4 linked regions of the Drosophila melanogaster genome follow. The gene in region 4 interacts genetically with the main gene of each other region. Each region holds a gene or a part of one and is shown on either strand. Other genes may lie near its edges. The genes, in order: Scr, tna, Pvr and skd.

Evidence for each region.
Region 1: of skd (region 4) and Scr, changing one enhances a phenotype caused by changing the other (phenotypic enhancement), as found in Drosophila melanogaster (one study listed by BioGRID).
Region 2: of skd (region 4) and tna, changing one enhances a phenotype caused by changing the other (phenotypic enhancement), as found in Drosophila melanogaster (one study listed by BioGRID).
Region 3: of skd (region 4) and Pvr, changing one suppresses a phenotype caused by changing the other (phenotypic suppression), as found in Drosophila melanogaster (one study listed by BioGRID).

Annotation. Positions count from the first base shown.
Region 1 is NT_033777.3:6,846,938-6,851,564, reverse strand, and holds the start of Scr (Sex combs reduced), read left to right. Parts: upstream 1-1,583; 5' UTR 1,584-2,020; intron 2,021-3,059; exon of another isoform or gene 3,060-3,649; intron 3,650-4,627. UniProt on the Drosophila melanogaster protein: Sequence-specific transcription factor which is part of a developmental regulatory system that provides cells with specific positional identities on the anterior-posterior axis.
Region 2 is NT_037436.4:10,833,668-10,838,560, reverse strand, and holds the start of tna (tonalli), read right to left. Parts: upstream 3,034-4,893; coding exon 2,816-3,033; intron 1-2,815.
Region 3 is NT_033779.5:8,236,870-8,241,626, reverse strand, and holds the start of Pvr (PDGF- and VEGF-receptor related), read left to right. Parts: upstream 1-1,748; 5' UTR 1,749-1,935; exon of another isoform or gene 1,936-2,708; intron 2,709-4,757. Other genes in the region: Spn28F (serpin 28F), read left to right, coding at 1-772, 832-970, 1,026-1,162.
Region 4 is NT_037436.4:21,024,421-21,029,347, reverse strand, and holds the start of skd (skuld), read left to right. Parts: upstream 1-1,913; 5' UTR 1,914-2,208; exon of another isoform or gene 2,209-2,420; intron 2,421-3,143; exon of another isoform or gene 3,144-3,218; intron 3,219-3,799; 5' UTR 3,800-4,327; coding exon 4,328-4,396; intron 4,397-4,927. Other genes in the region: Pdss2 (decaprenyl diphosphate synthase subunit 2), read right to left, coding at 1-263, 443-632, 691-1,040. UniProt on the Drosophila melanogaster protein: Component of the Mediator complex, a coactivator involved in the regulated transcription of nearly all RNA polymerase II-dependent genes.

The sequences.
Region 1 (4,627 bases), on a different chromosome or scaffold from region 4:
CAACATGTTGGATGCTGCTGGGGACCCTCCATGGATCTAGAATGGAATGGGATCCGAGAGGATGCTATGCTATGCTATGGATTGGGATACGAGAGTCTGGCGCTGGCTGCCCGCTGGCATCGCCAACATCAACTCCAATTACAGAAGTACACGCAGGCGTCTCTCTTATGATTTTTTTTTTTTAGTTTTTCATTTATTTTCCATCATTTGTTTTTTTCTATACTTTTATATGGTTTGTGGATGATGCGGGCCAACCATAAAGAGCTGACATGTGTGTTTCAAAAACACAGCGGAAAACATATGGCAAAAAATACGACTTCTATAAGAAGAACAAATCGAATTGGTACATAAACTTAAGCTATAAATTCCGAAATACGTACTTACAAAATTTATTTATATTTTAATAAACATATTTTCGAAAGAATTGCTGATTTCGCGTTTCGGGTTTCGAAAGTAACCGTTCAGTACCACTTAAAAAAACACTTTTATTACAAGTTCGTATCAAATAAACGTATTAAGTTTATACGTTTTTAAATAAGATAATTTTTAAGACACTCACTATAAATACTTATTAAAACAAACTTTTGCTTTTGCAATATATTACGAATGACCTATGCCATTTATCTGTATTTGGTATATGTTTGTGGTTTCGCAACATAAACGTTAGATTCCAAAAATAAAAATAAAAAAAATAATCTCATTCAAAATCGATTTTGGGTGTGTCTTAACCAGCAACTCATTTTTATGATAAAAAATAGCTAATCAACATTTAAATCTCCGAGACAAACTAATCAATTGAATTCAAATTCAAATGACGCCAAAATCAAACCATATGTGTGTTCAGCTCTGAATGCGATGCTGGATTGTTGGTAGCAAATATGAAATCGACTTTTAATTAAGGCATTTAGCCAAACAAATCAAAATCGTTAAGCCCCGATGCTGAATGAATCATGAGAACTTGAACTTGGCTACGGCCCAAAGAGAACCCGATCCGCAGCCCCGAAACAGACCGATAAATTTAAATTCAGAGACAACTGCCAACGAGCTCGTTTTAAAGGAGGAATAACTTAAGCTTCAGCAGGAGACTTTGCATTTTGCCAGGCCAATAAAAATGGAAATGAACGCGGAGCGGAACGTTTATAAAATAATAATGCGAAATAATAATGTGGCGGTGATTTAGCGGAACAGTGCCACGATTGAATACAAATAAAGTGGGGGAGACGCCTAATCTAGGATGATTTCGGCCTAATCTGGAGCGTGAACCGGGGGCAGATGTGTCCTGGAGTGGCTGCCAACTACCTGTTTTTTCTCGCTTTTCTCGTATTTCTCGCTTTTCTCGAGAGCGCGCTTTTCCCCAAATCGAGGGAAAAGCTGGAGCGCCATAGGCCGGTTGCCGTGGCACCCTCGTCGCATAAATCAAGACTGGGGGCGGAGTCTGCCGTGGGTGCAAGTGGGACAGCAGGATTTTCGAAAATGCGCACTGTCCGTCCTCTCTCTCGCACTCGTTGGCCGGGTCCTCAAATGATTTACAGTGTTCGAAACGCACACAAGGCAACGCACGAGAGGGTCGTTTTGTCGGTTTTTATGGCTCAAACGTGAATTGAACGTGGCGCACTTCAGTCGCCAAGCAGCGCGCTCGGTCTTCTGCAAACATAAAAAGATACAGATACACGTTCTCGTATTCGTACGCGTAGCAATCCGCGAAGTTTCCGCTTGAAAGCCAGTCTTGCGATTCCATGGAAAGCTCTTTGGCGACGGCAAGGTGCCATGGTCTCCCCATAGCGGATACTTTACCGACTAACTCCTTTACATAGGAGCGGAATTACCTACCCACCTCAAATAATTTCTCAAACTGCTCATCTTCGCAAATAACTAAGATAGCAAAGTGCAGTGCAAAAGGCAAATACAATTAATACGAAAATAAAAAGTATACAGTGAAGTGCTGGCTAAGAAAACTAATTGAATTACAACGACTTGTTCGTAGCGTCTGATTGGATTTCCCCAAATCGTCCACATAAAGGTAAGAAAATAACAAACGTAGAAAAACTAAACTCTGAATGTAAGAAGAAAATTTAAGAAAGTTTTGCCCTTAAAGGTTTAAATGAAACCATCGATATATCGTTAAATGGTTCCTTTTAACCTTTCTAAACTTTTCCACTCAAATCATTCTGAATTAAAACTGCACTGTGGTGTGGAGGATTGAATATTTTAGAGTCAATTTAACAAACAATAAATATTGTAGAATACAAAAAAGGTGTCAATTGTAAAAAATCAATATAATATATATATATATATTTTTTATAAATATATATTATTTTAGCAAGTTCAGAAATCCAATTACTTTACTTCTTTGCAATACCTCCAAATGTTATATAAACTAACTGCACACTTAACTAAAAAAAAATATATGAACAACATTAAAAATATATATTAAATCTTCAGAGACAGATTTTACTTCTCCAAACTCCCAAAATGAGTCCCAGAGTCTTGATTTTATCCCAACTAGCCCAAAGTACGGAGTTCGAATGTTTATGATTTGGTCCCCCGAAATCGATCTCACACGGACAGTGTCGGTGAGAACAATAAGACTTTAGTCGCAGTTCGAAACATGATTTTCGAACTACCGAGTAACGATCTCTCTCAATAAGAACTTGTTCGAAACACGCGAGAGCGGTGCTTTTCGAACTACCGCTCTTTCGAACTCACACACACACACACCGATGTGTCGTATTCGTATCCGTGAGATACAATTTGTGGGAACGAATTTCTGGTTTGGCGGTTGATTCGAAACGTTCTTCGCGTCCGCAAAGGTAGTTTCAGCACATGCCTGAGAGCGAGCGAGATGGCGGAGCGGCGCAATGCCCGTTGTCTCTCTCGCACACTTTTCGAATAATGAACACTGCACTTGGACGACGATATGTAGCTGTATAGCCATATAGCCTTACTTGCTCGTACTCGCAGATACAATTGGACGGGGGAAATGGAGCAGTATGAGTGAGCCAGAGCGCTGGCGTATCTGTGTTTTTTATTGATGCTCAGAAATTTGAATTATGCCCGAGCAGTCAAAGTGAGACATTGGCGCTTCGAGCACGTATCCGCGGATACACCGGAATAACAGAAAAAAAAGCACAAATAAAAAAACTCAAACAATCCAACACTCAGCTGTTCCGCGTGTAAAGACCCTCGAATACTGTTCGATTTTAGCGAAAGATGGATGGACTGCAAAGTGCTTGCATCGATGCTGGCGCTGATGGACAGTCATAAATTCGGCGTGAAATTCGCGCAGATACTTAGATACTCCGTCATAGCGCATATACTTATCGTGATCTGTAACAAATTGCGCGTGTGCTTGTGTGTTTGTGATACCAAAAGCCGTCCAAATCCGTCGCTTAGCCCTTTGCGGCCAATTACCCATTAGAACCATCCAAAACATAAGCCTGCAGGTAGGACGCAAAAGTCTAGCCAGTTTGCCCTCAGGATGCCATCGGATTAATTTCCCAGATATCCGGCTGGTTGTGACAATTCTACCTTCGTAATTGTGCACGTTGATTTCCGCACTCAGCACAAGTGAAAATCGTGGTTCAGTGCAGTGAAAATCAGAAAACAAACTCACTTGAACGGAGGTGAACGCCGTCGGCTAACTAAAATTGTGAGTAAACGAGTTTAACGGCTGAAAATATTTTAAGCGCTTTGGAACAGGTGAAAACAGTCATGGAAAGGATATTTATTCGTTGTCAGTTTTTGTTTTGTATTTTCTAGTGTTTTTTTTTTTGATGTGTTAAGAACTTATGTAGCAATATTTGGTCTAAAGCAATTTAATTATAGTTTTTTCTTAACAATTTGATGCGATTTTATTTATCAAATAATATTTACAATAAAAAAGTGCTTTGTTCGTATGTACATATTTTTTTAAGTAACAATATTTCTACCACCTTAAATTTTATTTTTAATCTTACAATCTTTATCTTGTACTTTGACTTTCTTATTGAAGAAATAATACCAACACTAGTAAGTTAAAAAAAAATAAGAAATTTTTAATTTCTTTAATAAATCAATTTAATATTCTTTGAAGAAATCATCAAAGGTGCGTAATAATTTCCCCTGTTTGCTTCTTAAGACACTCCATATCAAATAATATAATTTGAAAAAATCAATGAAATATATTTTGATACCTAGTAACCGAACCCAGAAAATACATTTTATATATTTCCCTATATCGGGGCTTTGTTTCTGTATTCTGTTTAAGCAATTTTTCATAAGGTTGCGTGTGCGGTATCAACGCAAGGAATTTTCACTTCATTAAAGCGAAATGCAGCCGCTTTTGAAATAATTAAGAGGCACAAAGGCGAAATGTCACAGCGAATGAAAAATGCCTAACAAGCGCCGCATATAGAAGGTTAATCCAGACACATAGCGTTATATACCGAGCCCAAGCTGGGATAGGGATGAAGAAATGCCCACGATATAGGCTTGGCTACTATCCGGGGAACTCGAACTCATGCTGGCCAAGACGCCATGGGGCGAACATGAAATTATGTAAAATAAAAGAAGACGCACTGGGCTGGAACTTCATGGGACTTTGCCAATGACCGAGTAAAGGCGATGCTCCTGGGCAGTATTCTACATC
Region 2 (4,893 bases), about 10 Mb from region 4:
CTACATTTTTGAGATTTTTGTAATTAAGAGATACATTTTTCTTTCTCTGCATTTGTATCTGTTTATGGGCAGCAGGGCAACGCTTGGATTCTAATTGTCGAAGTCGTCATTTGTCGTCGCTTTTTCATTGGCGTCATCCATTGCTGTCGTCGGGGTGTGAGATTTAAGTCGGTTTATCGACAGCATCGTCGCCGATTTTGGTTGCGTATTGTCGCCTATATGGCACCTCCCCCCCCCTATTTATGCTCCCCCCTGAAAGCCCCACCGATTGATCATCATCATCATCATTGTACGCTGCCTTTGTTTGTGCGGCTCGCGTATTTCTTCAATAAATTTTCAGTTTATTCGGTTTATTTATTTACTTATATTTGCTATTGCTCTTTAGCTCGTATCCACCGCCCCACTTCAGTTCACAATTCCCTTTCCATTTTGGCTTCTTCGCTTTTCGCTTTGTTTTCTCGCAGCCTTATGATTATTTTTCTCAGTTTCCACCTCCGAAGAGCCCCATTCCCTCCAAATCTTCGCCCTCCATCGTCTCCGTCGCTCGCGTAATTGAATTTCAACTTGTTTGCATTGTCGACGATGATGATAATTCGTCGGGGTATTTTGCGTATTGAGATCAGGGCCTCATCAATTAGTAAATTAATTTTATGCTCGCCGCTTTATGGAAATAAAGTTTTGCAGCATCCGAGCCGAGGAAAGTGGAAAATCAGAGGGATGAGCACAGGAAGCAAGCTTAAGATTGAAAATCTTGTTTGTTTACTCAGTTAGAAAATCGCCTGGAATTCTTGAGATATTCATCCCGAAGGCCGTCGTAAAAATCCTTAATCAATTTATGGCTCTTTTGTGTTCTGAACAATTTAATTAAGTTCTTTAAGGCACTGCAAACTACTTTGTTGTATACAAATGAACAAATATTAACCTTTTACTGCTAACGAAACTAAACAAATATAAAAAATGTTAGTCTTGAACTGAGCAATATTATTATAAATTTTAAATATAATTACTATGCAATACTGCAGCTCTTCAAATAACAAATGTATTTTAACTTAACTACCACTTCCCGCACATTTTTCAACTAGTTAACTTTTATTTGTCCCATTTTACAGAATGAAATGTCAGTAAATATTTTTGTAATTATTCGATTTATTTTTTGCGCCATTTGACGTACCAAAATTTCAATTATAATCAGCTTTGGCTTTATTTAAATATGGCACACATTTACCAACCAACCACCACTCCCACTTTTAGCTCATTATTTATTTTCTACTGTCCGTTTCCCACGGAAAGTTGCAATTATCATATTTGACTTTTCCGCATAAATTCTGTGAATTATCTCACCGCAACTATTTTTATTTGTTTTAATTATTATTATAGTAGTTTTAGCAAATGTATTTTGTTGCCATTTTATTTTTTGTGTTTCACAAAATATTACAGAACTCGAACGGAATGTTTGTGCCATTGATTCGTATTTGCGGTTGGCAAACCGAAACGAAATGTGCAACAAATTATTTCTGATATTATTATTTATTTATAGAAAAAGCTGAAAATAGAAAAAAAGTCATCAGCAAAATATGATATGTGACAATTCAATCACAAATCGAGATAGGAACCCTCTCTCAATTTTATATATTTTTTTGTTGTGTTGATCCCAAATGCAAAAATTGCCCGTTAAAATGCAATCTTCATTATTTAATTTATTTGAATTTTTGCTGGCAATAAATATTCATTTCTGACCGTAGTGGGTGTTGGCCTCTGTAGATATGGGAAAATTGTATGCAAATACAATTAAATGTTTTCATATGCATTTTGTGTGCTCCTCGATTTGATTGCTGCCAAGGGATATGTCTTGTTCAAACGGTTTACGTGGCGTATACTTGATATTATGTATTTTCTATGAATGTGCAATTTTTATTTATTATGCCAAGCAATTGAGAAAGAAAGAAAGATTAATCAAGAGCTTTGAAGAATATGTTATATATATATATATTGGGTTTGAATACTTTCCGCTCGAGCCCATTGAATATTTAAACATTACAATTGCTGTGGTGATTTCTGGCCATTTTAATCTGCTGCTAAGTCCCACTTTTGTCCGGTCAATGTGTAAATCAATAATGCATTAAAAACTTATTAGAACAAACAAGGATTCATTAGGCGCAATCTGTGTTCGTCCGTTTCGCAGTTGTTATTTATATCGATATAACAAGGTAATAACTGCACACTTAAGTATGCAAATAGCCTGGCCCGCACCTTCGTCCTTGTATGCCTGTGTGTGCGTGCGTCTGTGTTTGCACATGCAAATGTTATCATTTGTGATTAGTTACAGTCCTGAAATGCTAATGCCCCTTGACAAGCAACAGCAACAACCGCAAGACAACTCACTTTCGGGTTAACTGGAATGCCAGCCAGTGTATGTCTGTGTATGTCTGTACATCTGTGTGCCTTTGATCCTTATGAATAGTCAGCCAGCCGGAGGACGAGCCGAATTTGCCCCGGCTGGCATTGTGCTTCGCTCTGAATTATTTACACAAATCCAACTGCAATCGTTTGTCAATTTGCCAATTGACAGTGAACATAATTGATGGTGATTAAGGGTGAACGTAGTAGGTAAAGAAGGTGGGATTGCTTTATGAAGTCATTCGCTTGGCAAAAGATTGTTATGTTGTAGTGTGAGGCCATAGATTTGGTAAATTATTGTCGTACCGTTACTATTGTAAGTCTCAAAACTGAAAGACTTATCTTAACACTGTAATTATAAATACTAATTCGATATCTATGATATATATATAGTCTATTATATCTAAGGATAACATACTTCCCTCCGTTGAGTGCATCCTGCAACTGCTTCAAGCATCGATCGATTTTTCTTTCCCTCACTTGTGAGCCATATTTGGATGACGAATAGGGATCGAACAGGAATGGAAAATAGGGATGTGGGTCAAACGTTAAAACGGAAGTCGAATCATCTTTGGTGATTTCCTCCTTGACTTTCTCCTTTCTGGACTCCTTCACTTGTTCCACCTTTTCACTCATTTCGCCACTTGCCAATCTGCGTTACGTATACGCCACGTTGAACAAACCACGTCTAATCGAACCGAGATTTTTTTACCGCACTTCCAAACGCATCGAACTCTCTTTGGCAACTGCCGTCTAGTTCTTTGTCCAACTTCCTCTGCGATTAATTTTTATTAGTAGTGCCTCCAGTGCCTGGCAGTAGTTATTACAGTTGGCCAGCGCACATCTTAGCCATAGGTGGACTAATCACCAGCGCCATCAGCTGCAGTCTTACAGCAACGGCTGGCACTCGATTGCCTTCACCACCCATTCTGAAGGCCACGCGAAGCTTTTTGCATATTGCGTATACGTCATGTGCGTCCGGGATCGAGTTTCATTTCACGGTAATATATGAAAAATTCCTGGTAATGCAATGCGATCCCCAAACTGATTGCTTTAATGGTTTGTTGACTCAGTTAGCTGGCGAATAACAGCAGCTACTGTCAGCGTATTTCTATAAACTCTTAAAGTCGGGTTTTAAGTACATTAGACCTTGTGCTGTGATCCTCATATGAGTGGAATATTCCTACTGTGCGATTTATTGAGAGTGCTGAAAATATACTTTTCGAAAAATTTTCAATAAAAATATTGCAATCTGCTATTACTGCGAAATATCTTCTTAATTCATATCAATGAATGTATTTCATCAATGTAAATTCCCATTTGTATGGGATATACTTAGAAAATTATAGACCATCTCTATGAAAATTCTTTGCAACACAATAGTAACTCAATTCATTCAAATAATAAGGGAATTTTTAAACTCGTCGAGTTTTCTAAATGATCTAGTTTTATTAAAAGAGTAATATAAGTATATACCTTAACTTTCCGCTTTCTTCGCAATACACTTTGGGGTAATTCCTCAAATATTTTCGTCGTTCGTCGGTCTAGCTGGGAAAATTGAGAAGTGAGAGGTGGAAAAAGTGACCTCATTTGGCATAGGACCTCATTTCCTAACGCCCAACGAACCGCTATTTTTTGTTGTACGTCGCAGTTAAGTGTCCTTTCGCATTTCGTTTGCTTGGTGTTTGTCCTGTTTTGTGGGCGGTTGATTTGCTCCTTGGCTCCTCCCGCATCCTGTTCGTCCTGCCCTTGTTTTGCTTTCGGCTTGGTGCCCATGTAACTTGCTGGAAAATTAATAATAATAAAAAAACACCTACCACGGGGTGGGAGTACACGCGTGACCCTATTAAATGTGTGCTAATAAAAGCTTGGCAGCTCCGAAAAAAAATCCAAGGAAAATAAGGGAAACACGCAGGGGCAAGAGCGCAGATAGCTGACCAAGTGCGTAATGTTGGACAGAATATTTCTATGCCCAAGTGGTGAAGAAGTCTTGCTTACAAATTTCTGAAGTGTACAATGGACGATGAAATTACTTAAAAATTCACGAAGAAATGCGAAAGATGACGATGATGATGGGGTGGGGAAAACAAAATCAACGCTCACAAAAGCGGAAACATTTAACGGGGGCGGTGGTGGGTTGATGGTGTTTCTATTTACGCTAAAGGTCAACTTTTTCCATTTGCAGCTTGGTCATTTATAAAATCTTTCGGTATTATTAAGCAAAGCGAGGAAAACCAACTAAGAGGATGAAGTGGTGGAAAGGACTAAGGAAGTACATAAAGAAAACCCAAGGAGGACCAAAGCCGAGTTCTGTTGTGTCCGCGATTTATCAAATTAATGAGTATCATTTTATTTTCATTTCATTTTCTATGCGCCAGCACAAAAAGCGAAGGACGAAATCTCCGAAATTCCAGCAAGGAGTGGTCCAAAAGGAGAGCTTCGAAAATTAAGGTAACTTTTTGGCAAAGCCAAAGGAAAAATGAGTGGAAAAAATGT
Region 3 (4,757 bases), on a different chromosome or scaffold from region 4:
GGAAAATGCGGCCAATAATCTCATTTCCTCTCCCCTTTCCGTGGAAATCGCACTGAGCATGGCCTACATGGGAGCCAGGGCAAAGACAGCCCAAGAAATGAGGAATGTTTTGAAACTGCCCGATGACAAAAAGGAAGTGGCAGCCAAATACAAGGACCTTCTGAGTAAACTCGAAGGACGCGAGAAGGTAGCCACTCTCAGTTTGGCTAATCGCATATACGTGAACAAAAAGTTCCAGCTAGTACCGAGTTACAATCAGATGGTCAAGGATTCATTTATGGCTGAAGCGGAGGCAATCGACATTGTCGATCCCAATAAGGCTTCTTCAATTGTCAATAATTGGGTAGATAATCAGACGCGTGGTAAAATCAAAGACTTAGTTTCATCCAATGACATGTCGAAAATGGAATTGATCGTCTTAAATGCCATATACTTTAAAGGCCAGTGGGAGTACAAATTTAATCCCAAGTTAACGAAGAAGAGGAATTTCCGTGTTTCGGATCAAAAGAGTGTTCCTGTCGAGATGATGTCACTATTTCAATCATTTAGGGCCGCACATGATAGTGAACTGGGTGCCAAAATTATCGAGCTGCCCTACAGAAATTCAAGCCTGTCCATGCTAATTTTTCTACCGGACCAGGTCGATGGACTATCAGAGCTGGAGAAAAAGATTGTAGGATTCAAACCGAAACTTTCCAAAATGGATGTAACTTTAAGGCTTCCCAAGTTTAAAATCGAATTCTTCGCTCAACTAAACAAAGTTCTTGTGGCGGTGAGTATTCACAGATTATTCTTGATACACCCTTACAATTTATAGATATTCATCTATAGATGGGCATACAAGATGCGTTCGAAAAATCTGCTGACTTCAAAGATCTGGTCGAAAACAGTAACGTTCATGTGAAAAAAGTCATTCATAAGGCGTTCATCGAGGTTAATGAAGAAGGAGCTGAGGCAGCGGCTGCAACAGGTATGATATAATTTTATTATATATATATTTGTATAATATGTTTTATTTTTGCCAGCTTTACTTTTCGTGCGCTATAGTATGCCTATGCCGTCATCTCAAATGGTTTTTAATGCCGATCATCCTTTTGCCTATGTCATTCGCGATAGGGAAACCATTTATTTCCAGGGCCACTTTGTGAAACCGAATGAATAAAATGTACTATTTCTTATCAATAATAAATGGAAATTGTATTATACTTTATTGTAGAATAAAAGGATTTACCAGTTTCCTGAAAATATTTAATAGGTGGAAAGTAGTGAAAATGCTATAGTCGAGACCCTTATAAATCACAATCCCCTTACTCAGCTGACAAATCGTTAGAAATGCTTAAATGATACTAAATATTATTTAATAAAAGAAAACTTTATTTTAAGCACTTCGATCTAAAACTAAAACCGTTAGGAAATTTAGTACGCATGGCATCACTGGCCGCCACTGGCCAACTGGAACTGTTTTCAAGCGGTCTGGCATCGCCGCGAATAGCGTGATTGCGTTCAATTTTTAGCTCGTTATTTAGTACACTTCACCTTTCAAAATAATAATGAAATAATAATAAAAGGAAACTAAACGAGAGATAAACTCCCTAACGAAACAAGAAAATTCAAATGATGTTGACTAAAGATATAACAAAAATATTATTCTATCCGTTCTATTCTACATGCTGTAGATAACGCTCATCGATAGCAAAAAATAACAATCGAATCGGATACCTCGATAGTACCGTCGATAGTGCCCCAGCTCTAGTTAACGTTAACTTTTCGAGCTGTTCGGACGTCAAAGCGGAAGGAAATTTCGCGGGCTTTTGACTTGTGTTCGGTGCAAACTGTTCAAACTTTGCCGACGACGCAGTATTTATTGTCTTTCAAGAGCAACCGATACTGCTGAAGTGCCCCACGCAGAAAGTGTTAAGCACAGAAAACCACAACGTAAGCGTTAATTTTTGAAAGGCTCGAAGATACGTCCGATAATATAGATATAGAATCGTGTGGAAACGAAACCAAATCGTGTCGTATATAAGTATAAGTGAAGCATCAAAGGTGCTAAGCAAATGAATCCGCACTCAAAAGTTTAGATATCGATGTGAGCGAACCCCCACACCTTCGCAAAAGTAAAAAACAAACACAGATACGAATCGGAATTCGAATACAAGTGCAAACTCAGCCACAGGTGGTTGACAAGAGTTCTAAGTGATTGTCAATCGTAAGCTCGAAAATCGAAATCGAATTCGGCGCTCGTGATGTTGCTCAATTCGATGCAATTATACAAAAAAAAAACACCCAAAATAGTCATGGTCACTATGCTCCTATAGATGGTGTACATAATGAACTATTATCAGTGACCTTTTTCTAAGTGCGTGTGTGTGTGTGTGTGCTATTATCACTGCCTGGTATTATTCATTGATAAGTGCATATAAGTGTTGGGTCTACGAAAAGTGTGCGTGTGTCTATGGTGAATACGTCAGCGGCATTCCAAGTAATCAAGACTGCAAACATCCACCGGTGCCAGGTATTCAAATCGTGATTCATCGCCGATCGTGACTGTTGTACGTTCAAAAGTTGTTGTTGTATCTTCAATAGTTGTTGTTGTTGCCAAGCTGCTGCGATCAAACGGTAGACTGCGTAAGACTATGAAAATATGAATAACACTACGATGGATTTCGAATTTACTCATACTGCTTTTCCAGAAACACCCAAATAAAGTTGGTATATATACATATATATGTACATATATATATAGAAGAAAGGGTTCACCTTTCTTTTGTTTGCCTGGTCAACTGAATGTGTCTATAGCGACTTTCTTAAACCGGTTCCACGCCATCCGTTTCTTGACCAAACGAACTGTTGATACATTTTCCCCCAATACGTGACTCAGGATCGAGAAGTTCTGATCAAATCAGATGCCCATAATTCATTGCCTCCAATTGCACACTGTGCCCAATTTGTTTATTGAATACAGACCTCCTTCAGTTTGCCGACTGCTCCATTTATCTCTGGCCACTTCAAAAGGCTGCCCAGCCCAGGCTGTTGTTAATTGCCATCGTTCTCAATGTCCGGAAAATGTGGTACAAAACTGCTACGAATCGTCAAAGTTTGGAGTCATAAAAATGTCCGCGAATGGTGTTGATGAAATATTTATTGTAATTCCCCTGGCCAAATTCGCAATTCACCTGGCATCAAGCGTTGAACAACTGTTGTGATAAGCCAGAATAATCAATGGATACTAGTGGTTCTTGGAAAATGTGCACCCATCACATTGCTACTGGCCACTTGCACCTCTTTTTCACACCTACCCATTATGCACATGGCACATTAATCAGGTGGGGCTTATGGCCAAGTATCCACCAGATACGCACACCTGCCCCGCCCCCCGCAGTGGGTGTCAAATTAGAGATACTTTACTGTAGTTGATTGTGCTGAAGTAGAGAGCTCCATTACGAATAAATTACTTTGTATGCACTGGAAAAAATGAACAAAGTAGTTCTTTCGCATTAATAGAAACTAATTATAAATACACACAAAATATTTAAGCAGAACTCGCCGAAAATAGACTTCAAAATAATCAAAGAATGTGTGTGACAACGAATTTGTGTGCATTTCAAGCGATTGTAATATCTCTAGAGATATTTAGAATGCTGATATGTATTATTGCACAAGAGATCTTTTTAATCTCAAGAGGATTGCTTATGCACAGAAGATTGACTTCCTGTTGTAGATAAAAACACTAGAATTGAGTTTAGGTACATTTTGTACATCTGTAGAGAGAAAAATCATTTTGCGTTTCTCTAAGGCAGTTCGGATAAGCTGAAACATTTTTGAGAAACCCCTTAACTCTTTGGGCGAATTGGCTCATAAATTTCCATTTAAGATAATATCTGTTTAATTGAATTTGCCGGTTACCAATAAGCCATAAATAAAACCGATTCGTTGGACAATCTCGGCCAGCATTGAACACGTTTTCACACCACTTTGTTGGTTGGCTGGCTGGTTGGTTGGTTGGTTTGGCATTCTATGAATGGACACCTTCGCCTCTTTACATCCGCCGTGGTCTGAGTCAGAACGTAAATAATAAATAACAAATAATAAATTGACAGCGGACAACAAATGTTTTGGCCAGGCCATTGTAACTGTCTGCATGGAGAGGTGGAAATAACTTGGCCATAAATCTGCAAAAAAAAAGGCTAAGCAGGCAATTGGCTTTCACCTGAGCCCTAGACTAAAGCCCATTCATAAGCGCTGGAAACTTTAGACTAAAGCCCATTCGTTGGGAAAATTTTATCTGCCCCATAAACTGCACGTAATCAAGTGCACTTCGGAGAATCAGGGAAATAAGAAAATATATGTATATATATATATAAAAGCAATCTTATTTCCGTCGGGAATAAAATGGCAGAAGGCAGCCAGCCAGTCAAAACAAAAAATGCATTGAGTAAACAAATCGCATAAAATTGAGCCATGTTTTGAGGTCACGGCGAGGCACTAAATGGGCTATATACATTGGCCATATTTATTTATTAATCGGGCGAAACCCAAAACAAACAAATTAAACACTTGTCGGCTATTAAGTGAACGCATATAACATTTCTATTTATTCGCCAGCAGCTGGCCAACCAACCAACTTGTTGTCGCCACGCGTTGTAGTTGTATAATATGTGGGCAGAATGCCAACGATTCAATTTCACCGGCAATGGTCTTTCTATTATTTTTATTAAGTTCCCAGTTTATGGAAAAGAAAAGAAACAACTTTTCCA
Region 4 (4,927 bases):
GGTCGCTGGAAGGTTCCTGGCTTATAAGGCAGCGGGTTGTTCTGTTCATCACGCTCTCCAATGAATTCCGACTCGGAAAAATCTCGCACCGCCGACGAGATCAGCTCCACCACCTCCTGGTTGCGCAGATTAGCCAGCTCCGCACTGGAATGGCCCAGAAGATAGTCGCCGGTCAGCAGGCCGATCTTGTTGCCAAACGACATGTCGTCGTAGGTGTCCACATCCTGCCCAGCCTGCGTGCTCGATTGCAGATTAACCACGCTCTAAAATGGGACCAAGTGTAAATATTTTTATAATCTATGAGGCATCAGCTCGACCAATGACATATTGATGTTCGTTTCTTGAGTTTCGTCAACTAAATTTGAGGAAAGTTAAACTCATTTGCATACAAACCACTTTCAGTTTACGAGTAACTTTCGAATGCATTTGATCAAAAACTTACATTGTGCACCAGATGAGATATCCGTATCATCTCGGTGACCTCGGCCAAAGCCCTTTGGGAGTGCAGCACTCCGGCACTCTTGTCCTGCTCCACGTCTGGAACACTGGGTGCATGTCCTGCGGCCTTGGACACCAGGAGCACTATCAATCCCCAGGCTTGCATCGTGTTCTTGCCATTGTAGAGCAGGTGCCTGAAGCGGAAGATTCACATAAATTTCAACGCCCTATAAGCCCTTCAGCACCACTCACTTGGCCGTCTTCATCAGCGGATGGGCGCTGCCCACCAGTTTGCGCAGGTGCAGCGCCACATTGGCGATCTCGTCGCTGAGCAGCCAGCGCAGACTGAGGAAGGATGTGGGATAGCCGACGATGCGCTCCGCCTCGCTGACCGCCCTATTCCAGTCGTGTCTCGGGGGCGGGGTCGTAACCTGTGGACTGGCATGCTTTCCACTGGTCGTCGTCGTCGAAGTCCAGCGCTGAGAAGTGAAAGTTTGCAGCGCAGGCGCAGCTTTGGCCACTTGGAGTGGCTGCAGTTCGACGGGAATCCTGCGTCGCATCTGTTGCATAATCCTTAACCCACTGGCGCGGTACATGGCCATTTTCTAGTTATTTTCGCCTACAACACGACTATTTTTTTCAATTGCTTGTATGAAAATCGCGTTTCTTAGCTCCGCTCAGTTAAATCGTTCGTCGAAAAGTGAAATCTTCGAGGTCCGTCGCTGCTTGCGTCTCTGCCGACGTCGCTGTCGGCGTCACCTGCTGCCTACGCTGCTTCTTCTTCTTCCCGGGCGGCCCACTTTTACAGTTGGTCGCTGCTCCGCTCTCAGGTGGCCGCCAAGCGTTCTGTTTGTTTTTATTGCCCCACGCAGTGTCATGGAATTCCGAGGAGGCGGCGCAGGGGGTGTGTAACGGCGGTCTTGAGCGGGAACAGGTTTTCGCACGGCAGCGCCGCTTCGGTGCACACTTTTTGGCCATGGGGAGTACGGTCACTCTTAGGGATGGGAACACAAGTGGCTGGTGTTAGCGATGCAATTGGATGCTAGTGGTGACAAAACACTTATTTGTTTCCATTTTAATAGATTACAAATTCTTCTATTGTACAATTTATTATAGTTTGTATTCACCTTTAAAAAAATTTGTTTTAAGAAGGATCAAACAATCAGTTGACGGAATTGATTCAAACAGAATAAAAATATCTTTTATTTTACACTTCATTCCAATCACTTTACGCATTCGCACCACTTAAACCATTTCATTAAAAGGTTTCTATAACCGTTATTAAATTAAATTTAAGAGATCCTTTATTTATTTATATATAAGATGTGTAATACCTTTGAAGACATAGAACAAATAATTTAAAAAATATACCATTCTAAATTAAGAAGTATTAATTTGTTGTATATTTTGAACTTCCCATTGTGAAGACTTAGTGTTCTGTGGTATTTATTAGTGCTTTTGTGCCACCTCTTTAGTAGTTTTCTGTCTGTGCTAGCTGGCAACACTGGCTCTGCCGCCGACGGCAAGTTTTCCCTCATATTTGTTGCGAATTGTTATAAAAATCGATCGCAGATTTTTCCGTATGCGAATGCGATAGATAAAGTGGCACAAAATGTAAAGATTCAAGACAAGTTTACATCGGTAGTCGGAAAGAACATCAAAAACGGCGATTAAAACGTAGAAAAGTGATCAAAAATGCAAATGCAAAAGCGATTGCCCGAGAAGTGAGAGGGTGTGCGTGTGTGCTGTATGCGTGTATGCGTGCAAGAGGTGCAGCAAATTAAATATAAATAATAATGCCCAAGTGCCGTTGTTTGACAAATAATTGTGGCGCAAAATCATTAAATGATTTTCAAGACGTGTTTAAGCATTGGCAGCGGAAATGTTTAATGGTTTTTAATTGCTCTAGCGGTCGCTGCCCCGGCGGTGTGCCTATGTAGTGTGTGTGTGATTGAAAGAAAGAGGTGGAAAAGGAGGAGAGTGTAAGAAAGAGGAATATGCAACAACTGTGCGATTTTAGTTATCGATGGCATTTTTTTCCGGCTATTTCGAGTGGCCGAAAGTAAAAATCAGAAAATTTGATGTGTACACACACATTACTGCCCAGAAACAGAGAAAACGGTGCGAAAGGAAAACTACGAAAGTGGTTGCTCTGCCATGTAGGTGTATGGTTGATGCGTGTGTGTGTGAGAGGAATGCTGCTGCCCGTCTATGTATCACGTTTCGCACTCTACATATTTGCGTGCGTGTGTGTGCTATGTAGTGTTGTATAGTGCATAATTTATGGAATTTCGGATTTCCTTCGAGTTTCGTTTTAGTTTGAGATTTTTCCCTTAATTTAATCGATCTATGTGCTCGGTCTCTCTCTGTCTGCCTCTCGCTCAAAATGGTTGCATCCCCAAGAGATGCACAAAGAGCGAGCGAGAGCGAGATAAACAGACGCCGACGCCACTAACGCACACGCACACCAATGCATATGCAGTTAGCTGGTAAAACTTGTTTTCTCCCTCTCTCCTCTCTCTCACTCTCTGCTCAGCAAAAAGAGCAAAAGCCGCTATTCGAATTCGGCCGCTACTCGCCCTCTTCTGCTCTCTCGCCACTCGCCGCTGGTACAACTACACTACATACTGGCTATATACCATATATATGGCCGATTCAAAGCTAGGCGAGCAAAATTTCCATTGTGTGTGGCGACCAGCGTTCGCAGTCGGTTCGAAAATTTCTGACTCGTCATTCGTGCGCAAAAAACACTAAATACAACGCAAGAAATTCAAGCCTGAGTAATAGATTAAATATTAATAAATATTTTGAGCTACTGTTGTTTTTCGAAACCAAAAAATAGTCGCAGCTTCGAGTTTTGTGTGTTCACAGTACGTGCGAGTGCATGTGTTGGTGTTTTCCTTGATTACTCATCTTGATTTGCGCTCTATAAATGTGTAGTTCTTTTTGATTAAACATAAATTGGTTGGGTTTGAATTCGAATACAGCCGAAAACTCTTACCTATTTTATTTTGTCTACATCAACGATTAACGAAAATCCAACGACTTTCATCGTCGTTTGTGTGTTTCTAGAAGTAAATGTGTGTGTGCGGTGTATACTCGCTGCCTGTGGCTGAAAAAAGTCAATTTCTGAGTCGCTCTCTCTCTCTGCTTGCTCTCTTTTTGCATGAATGAAACAGCGAATGAACGAACCCTTGTAATTGTGATCTAGATGTGTGTGTGTGATTGAGTGAGTGTAGCAACAAATAAGCAAGTTAAAACAATAAGAAAATTAACTAATAAATGCATCTCTTTCGGAAAAGAAAACATATGCCAAGCGGGAAAAATGTGTGCTCAAAGTCTAATTCTTCTTATATTCCAGCTTTAACCAACAACAACAAAAGCAACATGCTTAATTCTACAGTATGTGTGTTTCATTGCCAAAGCAACGTTTACGCTAACATACTCTCCCCAGAGAGCAGATAAATACAAAATACACATAATAAAAATCAAAACCAAACATCAAATAGCAAATTACAAACAAAATCTAACACCACAACAACAACCACAAAATATCGAAAGTAAAGAAACGAGACGAAAGAGAGCTCTTCATTATTTGTGTATCCGTGTGTGTCGTCTCTCTCGCGTGTGTGTCCGTGCCTATACCGTTGTGTGTGTGTGTGAGAGAGTATTGCTGTGTGCGTGCAGCAGAATCAATAATAAAAAATAAAAATCCAAAATAAAAAGAGCAGAAAAAGCAGCAAGCAAATGTGCAAAATACTACAGAGTATCAAAATCAACAACAAATAACAACACATCGGATAAATAACAATAATAGCAATACACTATAAGCAAACAACGTTGAGAAAATGAGGTGCTGCTGCTGTGCGAAGAAAACAAGCCAAGAACTATGACGCATCAAAATCATCAGACAAACGGCGCAAGTTTGGAGGATTGCCACACAAACTTTTATGCCTTGGTGAGTACTGTGTTGATTTTCTGGGCAATTGTTTCTTATTTTTCGCAATGGGCTTTATTTTTTTTTGCTGCAGTATCTAGGTCAGTGTTGATGATTCAGGAGGGGTTGTTCTCGAGGGGGCTCATTGGCCTGCGGGGGTGTGTCACCCACTCAGAAACAACAATTTACATTACCGATCATGGGATCATCCTCTTCCCCACCCCTCTCTCGCTCGTAATCTCACACTCTTATCGATTGGTAGCCGAAATGTAGGCGCTGCCGGTCAGACACAGCTGTTTGTCGTTATCGCTGCAGAAGCTTCGCAAATATCCTACAGAAACTTAACATGAATGCAGCCACACGAAAATATGTTAAAACCAGATATTGAACTATTTATCATTTCTAATGTTTTACATTATGATGTCATATTTCATTCTTAGGGTCAATTGGCAATCTCTTCTCTTCTTTAATATTTATACATAAAATTGGGGCAATGTACGCACAAAAATTTTGAATGTTGTGATGTTTCAGTGTTTAATAAGTAATTTACTT